2 linked regions of the Oryzias latipes genome follow. The protein of the gene in region 1 interacts with the protein of each later gene in a pairwise test. Links are inferred from orthologs where the notes say so. Each region holds a gene or a part of one and is shown in the gene's direction. Other genes may lie near its edges. The genes, in order: prkg1 and mrvi1.

Region 1 (6,419 bases):
TTTCTACATTTTCAGCTCCACTGCTTTTACAGCATACAATGTGAGCCCGTTTCCTCATGTGACTGAAAGCTTTTTTTTTTTCTTGCAGCGTCCCCACATTCCACGACCTACAGGAAGATATTCTGAGCAAGCTTGCTGATGTCCTTGAGGAGGTTTGTGCCTTGCCGCTTTGTTGCACGGGCAGCACAAAAGCCCTCCACACATCCTAACAGATTCACACAAATACTCCTTTGTATTGCAATAAAGTGAAGGCACGCAGATTGAAAGCACATTCTATATAATGTTTACTTGAAAACGGATGCTTAAAAATATTCCGGGTTAAATGGAAAAACTTGCCCACCATCTGGGTTTTAACACAGTTTTTGCTTGTTAGTATGTGCTGAGAGTGATTGTGAACTAAATGGGCCACTTGTGCAGCGACAGTTCACAAACCTGTTCAGGAATTCAGTGCACTCCCGCCAAAAGCTATTTCAGCTGGCAAACATAGCAAATTAATCTAAGCAGACTGAAGTGTATTGGAATGCATTTTATTTAATGCCGTGGTTTGCTGTGCATCATGACTTGAGCATCACTATAGCAACCTGAATTTTTCAGGTTTTTAAAAAAACATTTTAAATATCTTTCAAATACATTCCTTGTTTTATAGTTTTTATTAAAAATATAATAAAAGAAATAACATACAAAAATGAAAACAGAGGATGGCTGATGGGATTGTAGAATCTGATTTTTTTTTTTTTCTCTGCCAGGTTTATAGAGTGTGTTGATTGCTCTTATGTCAATAATTAGATGATAGCTGCATTCAGGAAGGGGAAACAAAACAAAAAATAATAACAGGATATTAAAGAAATGGATGGGGCTGGCAGTAAACACAGTTTACAGTGTGACAAAGTAAAATAATCAACTTGGAACTCAGGCAGCAGAATAGTCTTTGAGCGTGTCACTCCCTCTCAGAGGGTTTCTGTTGGATTATCAAAGCACATTCTGTCAAAAACCTCCTTGATGAATTGGATACAATGCAGCATATTTTCAGAGATAAAGATCATACAATTTGTTGCATCAGCAACAATTACGGTAGTTTCTGAATTTGTTGATTGGTGTTTTCACAACAAGCACAGACTTATCGAGCAAACTGGGTTTAAAAAAGCCATGTTATCATCTAGAAAGTGGTCCAGGGTGTTCCCTGCCTTTTGCCCAACAGTAGCTTGATAGCCTCCAGCAACCCTGTGACCCTGAACTGGACATAAGGGTCGAAAATGGATAAGTGGATGTTAAGAATACAGCTCTAAATACTGTGTAGCTACTTCTGTTTTCTTTGGGGAGTTATAAGAATCTTTTATTGACAGATGTTAGTACACTGGACCCAAGGATAGAAGTTGAATTGTCCTTAACAAGAATTGATCCTCTTTCCTTAAATTTCTTGATCCTATAAGTCCAATTGGCCTGAAGAAAAGAAATGGACAATCCTAAATCATAAAGAAATGTTGGATGCATTGAAATATGCATCCAACATACATTTTAGTAACGTAATTTTTTTAAAATAACTTAGGTTTTATGGTTCAAAATACCAGTAGAATTAATGGTGCTGTGACATTCTTAGGAGAAAAAGTGTGATGTGGCATTTGAACCACACAATTCACGAAAAAGAAATTCTTTGATTAAGCGGTCACCAAATTACTTTCTGTACGGTTTACATTTAACACATTTCCTGCCTCAATTCAGGTGATAAATGAAATGGCAAATGTTAACCTCTGTGAAAATCTAGTTTCCGGTCTGAAGTAAGTTTTATCATGCAGGAGGATCAAATTGAAAGCTTTTTGCTGGAAAACCCAAACTGACACGATACTTTGTGAACCTCATGATTGTTTCTTAAACACACTGAGCCACTTGCCTCTTTCTTTTCCACAGTTTATTTTGATCATTGCATTATAAGATGTCACATCTGACATGTTTAGTCTCTTTATCCATCAAAACATTTACCCTTTAGCTTGGTTCATCGTTAAAAAACTGCTTAAAGTGGTGGTTCTGACTAAAAAGCAGGTGCATTCAGTTTCCATTAGTTTGTATGTCATTCCTGTGCTTGAATGATGAGTCAAGAGCCCGTTGCATGCTGTGTTACATTCCACTGCCCTCAACCCTTAGCAGAAGTGCTGTGGGTGTAAAAAACACATTTATGGATGGATATCCTCTGTTTATGTATTCTTGCGACTGACCTCTCTTTTTCCTTTTATAGTAGATGCAAAAACATTCGTTTATTTATTTATTTTGTACCTGATTCCTCACATTAAAAGGTTGCAGTGCATACCAAAGCAAGCAGTGGGCGGAAAGCAGCAACACAGCTTTCAACCAGACAACGAGTCTAGTTATGCTGTATTGCATTGCTCTAGTCTAGATCATCTTAACTCCCCTCATAAAAGTGTTTAGACACTGCCTTACATGCTAGGTGAGAAAAAGGGTAAAACAACCACAATGAGCATAAATAACATTTCCCTTCTTTGGTCTTGCCCCCCCCCCCCCCTTTTTTTTTTTTCTGCCAGACGCACTATGCAGGAGGAGAGTACATCATCAGACAGGGAGCCAGAGGAGACACCTTCTTCATTATCAGCAAAGGAAAGGTGAGGACAGCCCCGTGAGGCTGCAACCTCGATATAATCCTCATCGGAAGGCAAGGCATCGTGTCACATGAAAATGCCTGTCTTTAAAAGCAAAGAGGTGGCATTTTTAGCTGTCATCAATCACCGAGCGATAGAGGAGAAGCACATCCTCTTTCATCATTCCTTACAGCAGCAGTGGGAGTTTCTAGAAAGCAGAATGGTGTCACTTTGATTTTCCTTTTCAGTAATCAACACTGGCTTTTTCACTGAGCACAGTACTGTCTAGAAGTCACATCACCGCCTGTGGGCTTTCACATGTATTTCACACCACGATGGTTGCCAGTATTCTTTCTTTCTTCTAGCTTTTCTTGAATTCAGCAATTTTTTTTCCACCCCGCACATCAAGCAAGAACGTATTTTTCATTTTTCATTTTATAGGGACATGCTTATCGACGACAAACAGCTGTTCTTTCTGCTGGTAGTCCCTCTGAGCCTCAAAAGGCAGAAGTTGTGGGAAACTAACATTGGAAGTGTGGAGGGAAAAAAAAAAAAACTTCAACTTATTTTTAAATCCAAACAGAAAAAAAATTCACAAGCTGTCAAATCCTTTGACTCAGGTCACTTCATAGCCCAGAGCAAACAGATTAGCTCATAAATACCTGGACTGAGACATGAATGTCCGGACTTTACCGATGTTGCCTACTTCAGTAGTAGATTTACTCTGCAGCAAATCTTCCTTTTTTATTTTTTATGTTTTTTTTCCCCTGCTGTTACTTGATCGTACAGAATCGCTGTTAATTTTGTTGTCACTCAGCTGCGTGTCATTTTTGTATGCTGGCGGTGGACTTCCTGCTACACCTAATGGCTTAAGACAAGATCCTTCATTGGGCGAAGGGGTAATCTCATCCACTTCTTCGAAAATATGCTCAAGTGTCATTCCTTTGATTTGTAGAGTCTTGGGGCACAGCAGAGGGCCGTCACTCGCGTGTAATCTCCCTAATGAAGTGGTCAAGCGTTTGCTCAGGTCCTGCACAGTAATGACTCTTATCTGTTTGTAACAGACTCTGCTCAGGAATGTCTGCCACCTCTGTGTGCAATTCAATTCACTCTGTTTTTACCTCATCCTCTCGAAGCCACGCTTGTCTTTTCTTTAACTTTCCACCCGCATTGCCCTTTTCTTTTCAGGTTAATGTGACCAGAGAAGACTTGCCAAATGGAGAGCCTGTCTACCTCCGCAGCCTTGGGAAGGGAGACTGGTTTGGAGAGAAAGCACTGCAAGGGTGAGATCTCTTGAAATACCTACGCTTCCGATCCTATGAATTTCAATTTAGTATATTTACCTATTCTGTTAAATATCTTCTACTTCAAACTACTAAGTAGGGAGCCATATAACATTTGGTAAGTGACGCTGACTATTAAATGAGTTCATAAGTGTGTCAAACCAAAACTTCTGCACTAAAAAGAGGTTAACTGAGTGTTCTTGCACTATAGATTTGTTAGAATAAAAATTATGCCATAAATTTGAAGCTGAATGCTCATGTATTTTTATTCCCATTAGTACAAACAACTATAAGAGTTTAGCGTCAATCCCTTTTGCATGAGAGAAAAACAAAAGACAGAATTAATGAGAAACTAAAAAAAAAGGCAATAGTGATCCCTCACAGCCACAGTAACATCTGTGGTTTTTGCCTATATTTATTTCTAGCAGACAAGAAACTAGAGGCAAGAAGTCACTTAATGTGACAGAAATGTTGCATTTGTGTACCCATTGGAACCTCATTTCATTTGGTGAAACACGTCTTTTGTCTTTTCTTCTCAGTTCATTTCTTGGATGCCAAAGCTTTGAGAGCAAAAAACCTTTCAACCTAATCCTCAGCTGCTTTAATTAATTTTTTGCCTCCTTCCTCCATAAACAATTATATGAAATGCTGCATGTTTCTGGCGTTGCAGAAGAATTAGATTAAATGTGTGCAAAATTAAACATGATTTTCAATTATCCTTTCATAAAAAGCATGTGTTTTTAGAAAAACAGACCCTAAATCAGAAAAAGCTGAAATATGACCAAATTCTGGATGTTTTAGAACATGACGACAGAACTTAAACATGTAGGTAAGCTGGTCTGCTTTTGTTTCTTCAGTAAAAAAAAACAATAAACAAGAAAAGTCATCTTATTGGACACTGAAGGACACAATACAGTAAACCACTTGATTTCCTCAATAAAAAACATTATATTGTTTTCTGAGAAGGTTCAAAACGCATTAAAAAGCTAATTAAAAACATTTGAGCTCTGAATATCTGGACTCTGCTCCTTTCAAAATTGCTTCAACATGCAGTAATTTAGGACACCTGCTCCAAAGCATTTTTAGGATCATCTGTAGAGTATTAAGTCATCTTTAAATTGCTTTCAGCATCAAAGACGAGCACCCAAAAAAACACATTTTCCTCCTTTTCATGCCATTTGTCCGCTTCTTTGCAGCTCCTGAGTTGATGTGCTATTTAGACAATTGACAGAGAATAATCATGAGTGGATTATCGCTGTATGAGCAGTAAGGAATAAACAGGAGACAGGCTCCTGCATATTCATTTTGAGCACAAAGGTGACAAATGAAGGGAGTTCAAATAAATGGAGATGATGCCATCTTGTGGCCAAAGGTCATGTACAATGTAAAGACCTCATGCAAATGCTGACTTCAAGCAAAATTATGTACAAAAGCAACTTGACCTTAGTAGCCGTTTCAAACATTGATCTTGATTGTTTGCTAAAGTAGTGCCCAATCTAATGTACAGGAGATGGACATCTGGAAAGCTCCGACATATGCAAAAAAAAATCTGACTTTTGGACAGAAAAAGATGGCAGGAGTTGCAAAGCAGCTGAATACTGAAGTAGTTTTGTGGACATTATGTTCTAAGGAGAAATTTGGGTCAGTACTGTAATAAACTCACCAGTTTTTTTTTGTGTGGAACTATTTGTTCAGAGTAGTGATTAATCACAAGTCTTTCTCGCTTTTATCTGGTTTTAATTTAATAAAAATTGCCTACATGATGTCTGTCCAAAAACCTTAAATCTTTCAATGTAGATGTATGTTGTTGAGCATTTTAAGCGTTTCTCAGAAAAGATTTGAAGCACTCTGCATTGTTCTTCAAAGCACGAAAAAGAGCCCCTCATTGTTTGGCTTAAATAAAGAAAATCATACTTTTTCATGTAAGAAACCCCTTCACATTTCCATTGTCTCTTGCCATAAACACCTTTTTGTCTTGGAGTGTCTTGAGCTTGAGGAGCTTATTCAGCTGCACCTTTGATAGTCAAGCATGTGTCGCACATTCAAATTCAGGAAGCCTGGCCCATCTTCGCACCAGGCTTTTGATCAGAGGACTCTGTCGGGTCGTCTTTCTAATTAGTTAACTGTGTGTCTTTGCTCATGAAACTCAATAACCTCTACAGAGAAGCTACTCTGGCCATCTGAAGATGTTGCCTTTGATCGGTGAGAACGTATTTTACAAATCAAAAGCTGTTCTTCTGGTAGCTTTCAAGGTTTAGATTGTGGGAGGGCTGGGCTGCAATGCATGTAAAGCTGGGAAACAAATTTAATGGTTTGAATTTGTTTTTACCTTTATCCTATTAAACTGAATGCACCATCAAGTCGACCAAGCATAACTGAGGGTCTGGAAATTCCCAAAGTATCCAACCATGCTTGTCCCTTGTGAATAAGCGTAAATCTTTTGCAGATCCACAGATCTATCTGTCCATCATATGAGTGGATTTGGTGTGTGAAAAATCAAGGACGTGTGTGCTATTAAAACAGCCTGGTGTCATTGACAGAGAAATAG
Region 2 (6,419 bases), on another chromosome or scaffold:
AAATACATGGGTTAGGTATGTGTTCCTGGTCTTACAGCTCTGGCAAGAAGAGAAACATTTGCTGCAGGGCTCTCCTCGTCACAGAGGAGATCTTAACTTCAAAAAAAGCTGTGGGTTCCGGCACACCAGCCCCTCACTCATCATGCCCACACTTCCCGAAGAAGATGAGGAATCTCCAGAGGAGATGGATAGCTCCTCCAGCTCTCCTAGAACAGTGAGTTCTGTCACATTCACACGCACATTTTTATGATCTATTTGGCTGTAGGACCAAAGTCCAAGGTGGATGCTTCATAAGTCTGAACTATGAAAGAAGTTTTTAAATGATTATTCATTGAAATGATTCTAAGAGCTGAGCACTATGTTATTTTATTCAACCAACAATGCTTTATTTCGACTGTCTGTCAAACTAAAGTGCAGCTGTGCATACAAACAAACACAAGCTAGCCATGCCATAAACTGAAGTAATGGCATTTGAATTGGTGCATATTTTACTGTTATGGCTTTATGCTGAATTAACTCCCTCATAATGTTTACAAATGAATCTTGTTGAGGGCTGATTTACAATCAGTCTTTGAAGACTACTTGCCTTTCCTCATGAATCTACCGGAGCTCTGCTGAGGTCCTCCGAAAGGATGTGAGGAATTTCAAAGCACACAAGCGAAATCAGTCAAATCAGCTGAGGTTTAAAGGCTTCTCTCTGTTTTTTAAGGGAGGCCATTTTTGTTCTTTGGACTGGGTTCCAAGTCTCAGCAAAATGGCAGCTTTGGGTCCTTTGAGAGCTATCTGTAACTCAAAGTCTTAGTTTAGATAGGTCTTCCATGACTAAATTCTTACTTATCTTAACCTCAGAGTTTATTTAAATAAAGAAAGAAAATGTGTGTGCATGACTCAAATCAACCATGAGTAATTTTCTTCATTTGCTTTTTTTTAGCAGCGTTTTATTTTCAGAGCTGCACTGCATTTCTCGATGCCATTTATAAGCAGTCTGATTTAGGCAAAAAAAATGTAAATAGGAAAATATTTACCTTGTTTTAGCACAGCATTTCTATACTTAACAGCATCTAAAACTGACTTTTTAAAATTAAGCCACCATAAAGTGTTTTTGGTGCCGTCCGTAAGAAACACATGAATCTCAAAAGTCATAATGAAGTTGGGAAATTCAAACTTGTGCTAAGCTAAGAGAATAAATGACAAAGCATGTTTGTTTACACATGTAAAATATATATTTATAAAGATTTCAACTAGAAATAAGATCATTAAAATCTTCTCCAGATGAAATAATGTATGACTGAACATTTTCCAACCTTTTCTAAGCCACAAGACACTGTGTCTCAACCCTGATGGTAAAAGTGAGTATAAAATGTAAAGAACTCAAGAGGCAGTATTAGCAGATGTTGGTATCTATGCCCTCCGATGATGTAACAAAAAGGCTTCAGCTACTACTTACAGTGAATGTCCCACAATGTTTTAATAGATTTTAATGTGTGTGATATAAAGTAAAGACTTCTTCAAATAAGGCCAAGAATGTGTTGTCTGAATATTTCAAGTACTTTACCACTGCAAAAAATAACAGATGGAATTTTCTGTAGCAAAACTGGAATTGATAAGCATGGAATGGATGGAAAGAAGGGCTGCATCCTGGACAGATTGTTGGTCCCCTACATATCAATATTTTATTACGTGATGCTCTAAGTTCCAATTGAACTAGCATCAGGGTGATTCTAGTTTATAAAAATGTGATCTTTCTAACTGAGAGTTGACTTCTTCAAACCTCTAACTTTTTGTCTGCTTCTCGGATTGGCATGTGAAGTTTTTCACTGACAGCAAACTTACAGGGTTTGGATCCTTTCAGGAAAGGAACTTTCAATCAGTTACGACAGTCAGCTCCTGGAACGACATTGTTTCTTTTTATTGTTATAATAAAAAGAAATGATTTATATGTTTAAGTGAGAAATGTAAAAACTGTTTCTAACAATAAAATTGTAACTAACTGGTTTTGAGGGTAGGACCTGGACTTGATGGCTGATAATGACAACAAAAAGACAAGAAATAAAGTTATGAAGAACTCCTTCAAGAAAACGTGCCATTACAAATGTCAATCATTACATTTCTGTCATGGCGGCTACAGTGAACGACAAGAACAAAGCCCTGATAGCTGAGAGGCCTGGCGTATTTTCCTATTTTTGACGCAACAACGGGTGTACTGTGAAATTAGCAGGAAAGTAAGCGCCAACACAGCCTTTTTGCAAATGCAAATCCTACATTCTAAATGATAAGCTCTGAAAGCAAAGTCTGCAGGTCTTTACAGTTGTTTACTATTCCTTTGTTTGATATATAATGTTATCAAAGAGCCTTGTATGTTGGGCCATTTGGAAATCTGATTACAACAAAGCGCATAGTGTCCAGTGAGCTGTGAGTCTTTGGGTATTGATGCCACAAATATCAAAACCCAATTTTAAAAAGTTTCAGGAACTTCTGTATTATTTGTCTAGTGATCGTCTGTCTGTTTTAAGCAAACACAAATGCTTTTTTTAATTTTTTTATTTACAGTCCACGCCCAGTGAATGCCAAACCATCGTGTTTGCAGCCCCCACAATCATCTACCCACAGCAGGTCACTGCTGAACAAGCTGATTGGCATTCTTTGGAACAGGCCAGGTAAAATAGCTTAAACTCAAACCATGATAAAAAGTTTTGTGTTTAATCTTTGTCTCTGGATAACATTTGTTGTATCAGACCACACAGTCCCAGAGCTCGCCTGGTTAAGAAGCCCTCTGGAGGACCCATCACCACAGTCGGTGGGTAGATCCCATAAATACACCCAGACATTTTGCAGCAGTAATTACTAAAAATAAACACTGTGAGAACAATTTGTGGCCGCCCAGCATCAAATTAAAGACACACACTGGGAGGAACGTTGCTTTTTTTTTTCAAGGGATGTTTTTAACTATTAGGTTTTGCTTTATAATGAGATGATAACATTTCTAATTCTGGTGATGAGATATTTTACCAATAATTGCTTAAAGGATCTCCTAAAAAACAAGAAAAAAAAGGGTTACTTCCCCCCAGGAGCCCGCAGAGGATGTGTAAACATCTGAGTCGTGTCCCTCTGTACAGACAGCACAGGTAATGTGATAGACCTACTGAGAGATCAGCTGCCAGAGCCACAGCTGTCCGAAGAGGATCGACAGAAGAACCTCGAGCTGCTGGAGCAGGCAAAAAAGGTCAGCGATCGGTTTCTGTCTCGCCGAGGACGTAGATCCACCAGCAGCCTCACAGAGTCCCCTACAGGTACTCCATGCAGAAACCCACACGTACACCAATGAATAACAGAGTTCAAGCACTGACTGCTTAAAAGATGTTAAATATTGTTGCAATACATTTCAAAAGTGTTTAATTTAAATTTGTGATTAAAACTAGTATGGATGACTTTCCCTCACAGCTCTTTCTCCTTGTCCAACTCCTCCATCTTCCTCACCATCTTCCTCAAGGAGCAGCTCAGTAATTGTGGCCCCTCAAACTGGTCTGTTCTCACTTCATATTTCTCAAACATCAAAAAAACAAAAACAAATCTGCTTCTACAAGTATAGTTTTCTTGATTCAGCGGATAACTTTCAATCAACCTAAAGCCACAAAGACCTTGTTTTTATTTTTTAAACTCATATTCTGCTCTTTTGTCTGCAGCAAGCTCAGAGATGACCCATGTCAGCTCCCAGTCTGCCTTTCAGGTTCATCTTTTTTGTTTGTCTATGACCTCTGTCTTTATGAAACAGGAATAATTCAGAGTATTTTCCCAAAAGTTCAATTGTTTTTCCTTGGCTAAAACAAGAAAGTGTACATTTTATTTTTTATTTTTTTATTTTTTTGTTGTCTGAAAATGAGGTTTATTAGCCCTTAAATTGCTTGGCTTCCCAGAAAGAGAGCTACCTGAGTCAGTTGTTGTTGATCTTGTATTTTTTCCTGCTGCAGCATCGTGATGTGCCGCTGGTGAGGGAGTCGTCTGATTCAAAGAGCAAGGATCTGGAGGTCAGAATGACAGACTCTCTACATGTTTTCCCATCTGTACACTAATGACTTGAACTAGAAGTGTCAAGGGTTTTATTTTATTGATTTATTGAAAAATAATTGTTTAGTTGAAGCTCCATCAGCTGAGAAAACGTTTTAGAAAAGCTCTGCAATTCCTGATTGCAGAAAGTAACTGCAGTTGCAAAGGTCAATCCAAAGGTAAAAGAAAAATCACTTTGAAATCAAGCTGTGATTATGTTGTACTAGTGGCCAACAGCCCATTCTAAACATCTGAATAGATGTGAATTGTTCATAACACAATCTTTTGTTTCCTTGCTGAACCTGAACAGCTGTTGGTGGAGTGGAAGCCCTCAGAGAAAAGAAAGGTGTCTTCTGGGACTTTAACGCCTCGGTTCTCTGTACAAAACGAGAACTGCGACCTTGCTGTGCCCAAGTGTTCCTCTGCACTTAGTAAAGCAGATGAAGTTTCAGGCCGAAACCTAAACCAAGCACCTGCCACTGGGGTGGCCAAGCCTGTCCCCAGGCCCCCTACTCAGCAAGCCCCCTGCACAGCAGAGATTAAGACAATTGGGGCCTTTCCACCACTGATGAGAGCTGTTTCCTGGGATGCTGTAGGCAGCATGAATTCCAGAAATGGATCCCCAAGTTTTCCTCCAACACTTGAAGACCCTCTCTCAGAAGAGCCCAGGGAAGCTGCGTTCAAGTCCTCAGGGTACAAGGATTTTCCCACACAACCAGGAGGTGTGCGCAAACTGACAAAGCTCAGAGAGGTAAAGTGCACATTTACTAAGCCCCTTGAAGGGATTTTTTTTACTGGTTTTCTGCATGATGAATGTGTTTGTGTCCACAGGAGCACAAGCTGATGCGTAACCAAAGCATTGTGGCGTCAAAGTTACCAGAACTTAGTGAAGCTACTGAACAGGAAAAAGGTAATGGTTACTATTTGTTGTTTTTTTTCTTGAAAGATCAAAGATGCAAAACGGTAAAAAAGGTAAAGGTAAAAAGTGCAGCATAAACCACCTAGCATCACACACACACAAAAAAATCGATTTTACACAAAAATCCGAGGATCTGCTCTGTTTTGTAAAAGAAAACACAAAATGCATTTTTATCTTCTGGCAGTAGATGGCATAATTGTTAAAGCAAAATTCAGTGCCTAACAATAAGAGACTAAGCTTTTTTACTTTGAAATAATAACACTTTTTGGTATATTCAAATTAAAGAGACCATAATAAGAATTGACCTATTTTTACATTAAACTTCATTCCTGTGTAAATAAATAAATAAACTATGTTGTGTTGTTATTGTTGTTTTCTCCACAGGACCTTTATCATCTTCAAAGTCAGCCAGCATTGAGGAAGGGAAGGAGAATGCCATGCCAAACATTTCAGACATGATGCTGAGAAAACTCAAACTCCATCGAGCTCTGCCAGGCTGGTGGGTAACAAATCAATTTGACTTTCATTATTTGATAACCAAAAATCTTTTTTGCTGCTTTGTTTTTAATAAGTATACTTAGGTACAGTCTAAGTACTCTATGTAAAAATGAAGTACACTCTAATTTGTCTAATTGACAATAATTTCTTCTGTTTCATACTAGTGCACCCCCACTCAGTGAAAAAGAAGTGGAGGTGGGTACCTATTCTGTTCAAGTGGTTCCATGTTAGTGAACTTGTGTGTTTTTCTGTTTAGTATTGGACATGTTTCATGCAAAAGATGACACATTTAGAACAGGTTTTCTGATGTTTGCAAGTTTCTTGATTTTAGGGTTATATGATGGTGTGAAGAAACATGTTGTTACAGTGAAAACATTCCAGAAATTAAAGTTGTTTTTTTTTGTCAGTAGACAACTGATAATTTGAGTTGGCCAACAATGCTGTACAGGTTGTCACAGGTGAAACAAAAAACCGCATCGACCCCCGTTATTTCCCTCTAGAACATTAAAAAAGGAAAGTTAATTGTTATAAATTATATCAAGTTGTTTGTATATGCACAGCTCTGTGAAAAAGAAGATGCACTATTTTAGCTGTGTGGCTTCATGTAATATGATGCATTTTTTAAAACTTCTTTGGTTTGAACCTTACTTTTGATACTCTCCAAGAGGAAACCACAGAGGTACACTAGACTGCTCTGTATAAACTAAACATGGTGGAGCATCCTCCATCCTGCAAAATGGTTTGGATCATACCTTACCCTTCTACCATGAAGAAAATCAACTTAACCCTTGTGCTATCTTAGATGACCCCACCCTTACATTGACGTGTTCTCCCTACCATGAAAAAGGTGGACAAAGGTGGAAAGATTTCATGTAATCCATGGACACCAGTGAAGATCACAAATCATTGAAGAAAAAAGGTTCAGCGCACTGTCTAGTGGGTCTAGATCAGTGTTTTT

What was found.
Region 2: the proteins of prkg1 (region 1) and mrvi1 interact in a two-hybrid assay, tested with the Homo sapiens proteins (2 studies listed by BioGRID). The link is inferred for Oryzias latipes from reciprocal best matches to the Homo sapiens genes PRKG1 and IRAG1.

The regions. Positions count from the first base shown.
Region 1 is NC_019873.2:20,227,749-20,234,167, forward strand, and holds part of prkg1 (cGMP-dependent protein kinase 1), read left to right. Parts: intron 1-88; coding exon 89-152; intron 153-2,534; coding exon 2,535-2,612; intron 2,613-3,776; coding exon 3,777-3,871; intron 3,872-6,419. UniProt on the Homo sapiens protein: Serine/threonine protein kinase that acts as a key mediator of the nitric oxide (NO)/cGMP signaling pathway. GMP binding activates PRKG1, which phosphorylates serines and threonines on many cellular proteins.
Region 2 is NC_019861.2:20,004,606-20,011,024, reverse strand, and holds part of mrvi1 (protein MRVI1), read left to right. Parts: intron 1-37; coding exon 38-214; intron 215-2,550; coding exon 2,551-2,657; intron 2,658-2,735; coding exon 2,736-2,797; intron 2,798-3,116; coding exon 3,117-3,290; intron 3,291-3,441; coding exon 3,442-3,522; intron 3,523-3,683; coding exon 3,684-3,727; intron 3,728-3,968; coding exon 3,969-4,025; intron 4,026-4,354; coding exon 4,355-4,795; intron 4,796-4,875; coding exon 4,876-4,954; intron 4,955-5,347; coding exon 5,348-5,462; intron 5,463-5,625; coding exon 5,626-5,656; intron 5,657-6,419.